2 linked regions of the Nothobranchius furzeri genome follow. The protein of the gene in region 2 binds, or shares a complex with, the protein of the main gene of each other region. Links are inferred from orthologs where the notes say so. Each region holds a gene or a part of one and is shown on either strand. Other genes may lie near its edges. The genes, in order: phf12b and sin3b.

Region 1 (4,465 bases), on a different chromosome or scaffold from region 2:
AATCTAACAAAGTTCCTTTTTAAAGCAGACTGGTACGGGATGGGAAGCCTAATGACAAAGTGTTTAAAGTTCTTCAAATAGCTGAAGTTTTAACTGAAAAACACCTCAAGATAAATTAAATGAATGTAAATTTCATGTGCTAATATTTCAAGACCCGAACATCTCAAAGATGGATCACAACTTAACCTAATAAAAAAGAATCGTGCAGGCGCACCTGCAACTCACCTTTTTTCTAACGTTACAGCGATGACACATCCATTCACCTGGCGGGAGCATCTCTTCACTCAGAGGTGGGTTACTATAAACAAGCATAAACCATCAGGCTTGAAGGAGGAAATGATAACTGTCCATTCAGTCACGTGATTTAAACTGAATATCAAACCAAATCTATTTGAAAATGCACTCGGAGGCCTTTTCCCAGCAATGACTCCCCCTGGTGGACGGATCATGCCATTACAGTAGAATATGTATAAAACTAGTTCCTCCACATGAAAGCAGCTGATCTAGGAACTGCTCTATAATAATCAGAGGCATCTGAAACGCATCAGCGGTGGGACACGTTACCGTGCGGGGTTATCACGCATAGCTGGGAAATTCCCGTGTTCACAGCTGGTTTAACAGTTCAGCACAACCTGTCACGTCCCAGATCAGCCTGCCACTGACCGCCATGACCAAATATAGTCAAATCGCTTCCAGGTGACAGCCAAAACGCAACTCCTCAACCAGATGTGATTAAGCAGAAGTTCCTGATGCGCCACCGGAAGTGTCACAGCGATCAACAACAACAACAACAACCGCTACACACTCACAAAACCACACCGCCGGTTTAATGCTATTCGCAAACCTTTCGCCCCTCGGCACCGAAATGTAAAGGTTGGTAAGATGGCGCTGAAGAGAGCAGAGAAGTCGCCATATTGTAAACAGAGGCAGCCTCGACTCCATTTTTAGCAGCAGCAGCAGCAGGAGAGGAGGACCGACTGCAAGTCAACTCTGCCTCGTTTAAACCGCAGAGAGCAAACCTTAATAACACACCTCTGGAGCAATCATCGAAGTTACGATCAACCGTCTGGTTATAACAAGCTAGGTAATAGGCGTGACAACATCCCCCGGTGTGTGCGATAATGCAGAGGGAACTTTATTCGTTCACAGAGAGATTATGTGCTCAACACCAACAGGCAGCTGGTAGTCCCAGAGCCGTTGGGTCATAACGGAATTCCTGTAATTCAGAGCAGAACTGACTTCTACAGCCCCACCATGGTTAGCATCTACAGCCCCACCATGGTTAGCATCTACAGCCCCACCATGGTTAGCATCTACAGCCCCACCATGGTTAGCATCTACAGCCCCACCATGGTTAGCATCTACAGCCCCACCATGGTTAGCATCTACAGCCCCCCACCATGGTTAGCATCTACAGCCCCACCATGGTTAGCATCTACAGCCCCACCATGGTTAGCATCTACAGCCCCCCACCATGGTTAGCATCTACAGCCCCACCATGGTTAGCATCTACAGCCCCACCATGGTTAACATCTACAGCCACACCATGGTTAACATCTACAGCCCCACCATGGTTAGCATCTACAGCCCCACCATGGTTAGCATCTACAGCCCCACCATGGTTAGCATCTACAGCCCCACCATGGTTAGCATCTACAGCCCCACCATGGTTAGCATCTACAGCCCCACCATGGTTAGCATTCACCGCCTAGCTAAAGCAGCACCACAGCGCGCGGAGCTGCTGCTGCTAGCCAGCACTCACCAGCACTGTAGGTGGAAAGCTGCGGGACAGTGGTCACAGCAGAGCAGGTCTCCCCCCTCCCGGCAGCTGTCGCAGGTGTCGTGGTTGGTGGCTCTGCCGCTCCTCCGGACGTCTCTCACCAACTTTCGACTCCTCTTGTCCACGTCTTCGGACTTTGGAGGCGCGAGTAGAGTTTGGATTTGCTGTAAAATGAAACCAGGGCGGTTACATTTACACAGGAAATTTAAAAACGTAAAAAAATGCAGGTTCTATGACCGAAGACTTGGTTGTTTATTAAAATAAACAACCAAGTCTTCGGTCATAGAACTAAGCGAGAGACACCACCAACTTGAGAGCACATCACAAACCCTAACCAGACTTTACTGACCAAGTCGCTCGTAAAAACGCTATAATGGCCATAACTACCCTAAGTAAAACAACATCAAACAACCAGAGTGCTAGAAAAGCTCAATCTTTCCACTGAGGCCTTCAAACGTAGCAACCTCACCTCCATTAAGCCCCCAGAGGTATCCAGATCGTACACAATCGTCGGAGTTTCCATTTTGTCCCACATTCATTCAGAAGCAAACGCTGCAGGAAAGACTTTGAAGTTTGATCTCCTTGAGATACACGGCAGTGAGTGCTAATCCCGCAAAAATGTTGAATTCCTAAAGATTGTGGCCAGCGGCAAGATGGTTAGCTATCACTAGCTAGCTAAAAAGCTAACTACGACGCGCAAGACGTCAGCCAGTCAAGGTTGTGAAGCTAACGGGCTCGGTCTTATCAACAGAAGAAGTCAGAGAAAGACGCGAGCCTGGTAGCACCACTTTTATGTGCAATCACCGAAAATACATCCAGTATTTGATGATCAATGGATATTTGCTCATGGCGACAAAATCCATCGGCGGCCTAGCTGGCAAGCCATGATTCTCGCTTCTGGTCCTGCAAAAGGGAGCCCTGTAGATCTGCAAACCCCTCCGCTCCCATTGTCCACAGAATAAAGAACCAAACAATCCACTTTGAAGTTCGGCGTGCCTCGGTCCAAAACACAGCTTCCGAGCGCGTTTAGAAAATGTAATACTCGATTCAAGGGTGTGAAGATGCAAATTTAGATGTTATTGTTGTGGGGAACGGCTGTGCATCTACACGGGCTATTAGCAACATCCTACCAGTTGGCGCAACCGCGAACCGCCAGACGCGCATGCGCACTGGTAAAGGAAAGAAATGGACAACATTGTAACGATACTAATATTGTAATGAGTGTAACGAAGTGTGAGTCCGTTGTAGACCATTAAAGGCTCTTGCAGCAGTTAAAAAAATTCAAGCCTCAAAACACACAAAAAAAGGTCTTTGAGAAAGTGTAGGCGTTAAAATAAAAGTAAAGAAATGAAGCTTCAATTTATTTTCATCTATTATACTTTCAGCTATTTAAACTCATCAATGAATGTTTAAAATGGTCAGGAAAACCTTTGCTTTTGGTTGTGCGCTCAAACACGCGGCAATACGGTATTGTTCCTTTGAGTTTCTTCAAAATAAAATTTCCGGGTTACATTATTTAGATCCATAAACATGAACCTCAGTTTTCATGTTTATGTTTAGCTCACATATAATACTTTTATTACACATATAGTACTTTTCAATTCTACATTGTGGTCAATTTCTTGCTGAGAAAGTGTAATTGCTTCAGTACAATGAAATTGGAATAATTAAAAATAATTGAAAGTGACCTAAAGTGGCATTTTAAAAGTTCTTGTCAGCTCATGAAAGAACCTGTTACCTTCACTGTCTTTTTTTAGTGGAATGGCAGAATCAGCAGAAATAGGTTGCTGAACTTTTCTGGAAAAGGCTTGGTTTAGGAAAGTTTTCAAAGAAAAACTTGATGTAGTAGCTTTGTTTTGTTTGTGTTACGTTTCCTGTGCGATGTGAAGCAGAACGGGCTGCTTATATTTTGAAAGTAACTCATTCGCGATGTTACCGTAACTTCCGTTTCTGTTAAAACTGTTTATTGAATCGCTGAAGAAAAGATTCAGAACTTTTCCACACAATAAGCAGATTGTTGGTTATTAATTTAGAAAACATCGGGACGGTTTTCAAACTAAAATTAATTCGAAACGAATGAATTTACTTTTATTTTACTTTTTAAACTAAAGGAAGGACAATATAAAGCTCCAAAAATGCAACATTTAAAAATTTGTATATTTTTATGCAAACTGTTGGGTGAAACTCAGACAATGCAGAAACTGGTCGTCCTTGGTCTGGTGATGTTTCTCTGCTTCACCAGCAGAGGGAGCCACCGCCTTAGCGTTTAGCCGGATAGGGTTATGTTTTAGTTGCTTTGCTGATGGAATGATTGTGATCTCTTTCTACAGTTTCTGGTTGGGCCTAGTTGATTTTATCCAGAACGACTTGATTTATTAGCTTTAAATATGTTCATAATGATTACATTCAGTGTTCAGGCTATCCATTATCACTATGTTTTTTATTTTGAGGAAAGAGTTTTATTATTCAATAAAAAAGGCGGTTCATAACAAAACTCTTGCTCACTCTCTTTCTTAACTGCTTTTCATCAGCAGGGTTGCAGGGGGCTTTCTAACTCCAGCAGTCATTGAGCGAGATGCAGGAGACACCCTGGATAGGTCGGACAACACACCCACTCACACCTAAGGACAGTCATCATACCTGATGCTGGACTGCGAAACCAAAATTGTTGAGCTACTCATGAAT
Region 2 (3,818 bases):
TCAAAAATTCCTTTAAATTTTACAAAAAAACTGCCTAAATCAAAATCTGCAGACAACAAATATTCATCTTTTCATCAATAGGAATTACTGCGCATAGTTAACCCATTTGAATTAAAAGTATGTAAAAGTTCTCTCACTGTGACATTTGGTTAGTGTTAGGGTTATGCATGTGTGCTGTAATCTCTAAACTTTTCCTACAAGATTTTAAACACCTCAATACTTATTTTTCAGTTTCAGTTGGAATTGTTCCTCTACTATGTTTTGCATTGCTAAGGCAGCTGAAACTTACTGGGCTGCTTGAGGCGAAGCTCCATGGCCAGGTCACACGCCTTCTCCCTCCTTCCTTCTGCCATCAGCAGCCTCTCTCTGCTCTGCTCTGCTCGGTGCTCCAGCAGCTGCTGCTCAGCTTGTCGGTAAACGCGCAGCAATCGTGAACAAAGAGTTTGGTGCAACCGCAAAAAGAAATACCAGTTGTTGTTGACAAAAAAAAGGTTGTAGACTCCATCCAGCTCCTTTTGGTGTTCTGCTTCAGGGTCACGGAGGTCCACTTTCTCCCCAGCCACACCGGAGCCAGTCTCCATGGGTAAAGAGCCTGGTGTGGGTGCGGTAGTCCCTGCAGGCTGGCTCATGTCACCAGGGATGGCAGAGGGTTCGGTTTCTCCAGGCTGTGATGGGCTGCAGCGTCGTCTTCTGGGCTCACCATTGAGTTGCTGCTGTAGTTGTTGCTGCTGCAATGGGTGGGTCAGGGCCACCTGTGGTTGAGTTTGACTTCCTGTGGCCACTACTCCTCCAGATGAATTGTCTGAATTACCATTTCCTCCTGCTGCTGCTCCTACAGCTACAGATGGTGCAGCTCCTCCTCTTTCACCTCCTTCCTCCAGCTCAGCCTCCTCATCTGTCCATTCTTCTGTGTCACTGAGCTCACCGCGGCGAGCGAAGAACAGATCCGGAACAAAGTGTTGAATGATACGCTTGATGTGGTCTTTGTCATCCTTATGGATGGTAGGCTGACGTTTGACATGGTAGATGATGAGGGAGGCAGCGTCTTCAAGGATCTGCTTGTCTTCATATGTAAACATCATGTGAGGTTCACTGGATGAGGTAGAGCCAGAGCTGTTACGACCTTGATGGCCAACACCACCTTCTTCTGTGCTCTGCTCCTGACGCTGAAATAACACAAACACATAGGATTTAAACTTAGAAGAAAATCTTGCTTCAGATGAAGTGATGTGCACCAAGAAAACAGCATGAAATGAGATGAATAAATGGTACAAACTCTTTCGGTAATGCAGAACCATCATTAATTTGAATCACACAACACTCATCTTAGAGCCTAGAAGCAACTGGCTGCCAAGAACGATCAATGCTCCGTTTCAGGGGTCGGCAACCTTTCTGACGATGAGAGCTATTTGAACTGTTGCATTAAGAAGAAATTTAATAATGCTGCGTATCAACAGTTTCATACCATATACTGTAAAATTTTACAGTTCGATCCACTATTGGGCTGGTAATAGAACTTCACTGAACTACATTTGTTGATAGATGTTGGCAAATAGCAGATCAGAAATTTTCAAAAACACCACCAATCAACCATAAGAAATGCAACAGGTATTTATGGACTCTTCACAACAATATGAAAAAATAAAACTAACCAACATAAGTTATTACAGGGACAAACATGTTATTGAGATTCCTACCCCAGTTTTGCATTTGCCAGTTCAGTTATCTGGGGATTACACTTATTAACTTTAAGAAGTACCCAGCTCTAAATGTCCAGCAGTCAGGCAGCTACGGGAGGCGCTGAGGACACTCTTCATCCAAGCCCATAAAAACATGTCTGAGGTTATAAGTCTCCATCTGTAAATGGCTTTCTGTGTTTAGTACAGTGTGCAATGTGAAAACTTGCTTCAGTTCTATGATGTTTAGCAGCCGTAAAAATTTGAGTACTTTCTTGCTTCTCAGCTCTTATACGGTACCTGCGATTGATTCAGCCTTCTCTCCTTTTTTTTGCTCCACAAAAACCAGTCTTCTGTCCAAATGGTCAAAAAAGATCAGGAATAATCTTTTTTTGCACACATAGATGCCATATTTTACAGGACTAACTAGCTAGCAACATCCTTCTCACTGTACCCAGTAGATGGAATGTTAGCTTAGATATTGTCAACAAGAAGCAGCATGAATGGTGTCTATGTGGGGCCCCCTTTCACCTTCAGAACTGCCTTAATTCTTTGTGGCGTTGATTCAACAAGGTGCTGAAAGCATTCTTTAGAAATATTGGTCCATATTAATAGGAAAGCATCTTGCAGTTGATGGAGATTTGTGGGATGCACATCCAGGGCACGAAGCTCCCGTTCCACCACATCCCAAAGATGCTCTATCGGGTTGAGATCTGGTGACTGTGGGGGCCGTTGTAGTACAGTGAACTCATTGTCATGTTCGAGAAACCAATTTGAAATTATTGGAGCTTTATGACATGGTGCATTATCCTGCTGGAAGTAGCCATCAGAGAATGGATACATGGTGGTCATGAAGGGATGAACATGGCCAGAAACAATGCTCAGGTAGCCCGTGGCATTTAAACCATGCCCAACTGGCTCTAAACTTGGTGTTTTGTTGGCACTAAACTGTGCCAATAACACACCCCCACACCATTTCACCACCACCAGCCTGCACAGTGGTAACAAGGCATGATGGATCCATGTTCTCATTCTGTCTATGCCAAATTCTGACTCTACCATTTGAATGTCTCAACAGAAATCGAGACTCATCAGACCAGGCAACATTTTTCTAGTCTTCAACTGTCCAATTTTGGTGAGCTTGTGCAAATTGTAGCCTCTTTCTCCTATTTGTAGTGGAGATGAGTGGTACCCGGTGGAGTCTTCTGCTGTTGTAGCCCATCCACCTCAAGGTTGTGCGTGATGTGGCTTCACAAATGCTTTGCTGCATTCCTCGGTTGTAACGAGTGGTTATTTCAGTCGAAGTTGTTCTTCTATCAGCTTGAATCAGTCGGTCCATTCTCCTCTGACCTCTAGCATCAACAAGGCACTTTCGCCCAGAGGACTACCACATACTGGATGTTTTTCCTTTTTCACACCATTCTTTGTAAACCCTAGAAATGGTTGTGCGTGAAAATCCCAGTAACTGAGCAGATTGTGAAATACTCAGACCGGCCCATCTGGCACCAACAACCATGCCACGCTCAAAATTGCTTAATCACCTTTCTTTCCCATTCTGACATTCAGTTTGGGGTTCAGGAGATTGTCTTGACCAGGACCACACCCCTAAATGCATTGAAGCAACTGCCATGTGATTGGTTGATTAGATAATGGCATTAAGGAGAAGTTGAACAGGTGTTCCTAATAATCCTTTAGGCGAGTGTGTAATACAAATATATGGTTTGAAGAATGACATAAAATAAAAGAGGGTTCTGTTTTTGTTTATTTATTTGTATGCATGTATATATATATATATATATATATATATATATATATACACTGGGTATATATATATACTAGGGCTGCAACAAACGATTATTTGGATAATCGATTAATCGGATGGGGTCTCGACACGATTAATCGATTAATCGGATTACATAGGGACATTTTTAAAAACTGCTAGGGAAACGTTATTTTTCTCCTTCCTTCACTTTATTAAACACAGCATTATTAGAAAACAGTTCAATAGCAGAAAAACAACATGCCATCACCTAAATTGTCTTATAAGGTGTATAGACAGAGACCCTAAGCTACACCTATCTGTGACCTAAAATGCTTGGTCCAAGTTAAACAGCTTAAAGAGCAAGTCAACCCCTACCAGAG

The links.
Region 1: the proteins of sin3b (region 2) and phf12b are in contact, whole or in part, in a cryo-EM structure (PDB 8BPA), measured with the Homo sapiens proteins. The link is inferred for Nothobranchius furzeri from reciprocal best matches to the Homo sapiens genes SIN3B and PHF12. Residues at the interface, in NP_056075.1 of Homo sapiens: Glu307, Phe311, Leu318, Glu322, Val323, Tyr324, Glu325, Asn326, Leu328, Arg329, Cys330, Ile331, Leu333, Phe334, Asn335, Glu343, Leu347, Pro350, Phe351, Lys354, Phe365, Lys395, Arg396, Glu490, Glu493, Leu494, Val497, Tyr545, Arg546, Ile547; in NP_001028733.1 of Homo sapiens: Leu20, Met21, Gln23, Ile24, Gln25, Leu27, Leu28, Pro30, Pro31, Lys32, Thr33, Asn264, Leu266, Val267, Leu269, Val271, Val273, Phe275, Thr276, Asn278, Arg279, Ser280, Arg282, Cys292, Pro293, Leu294, Pro316, Asn317, His318, Ile319.

The regions. Positions count from the first base shown.
Region 1 is NC_091753.1:61,665,285-61,669,749, forward strand, and holds the start of phf12b (PHD finger protein 12), read right to left. Parts: upstream 2,961-4,465; 5' UTR 2,316-2,960; coding exon 2,250-2,315; intron 1,945-2,249; coding exon 1,763-1,944; intron 324-1,762; exon of another isoform or gene 313-323; coding exon of another isoform or gene 299-312; coding exon 226-298; intron 1-225.
Region 2 is NC_091748.1:57,489,653-57,493,470, forward strand, and holds part of sin3b (paired amphipathic helix protein Sin3b), read right to left. Parts: intron 1,167-3,818; coding exon 290-1,166; intron 1-289.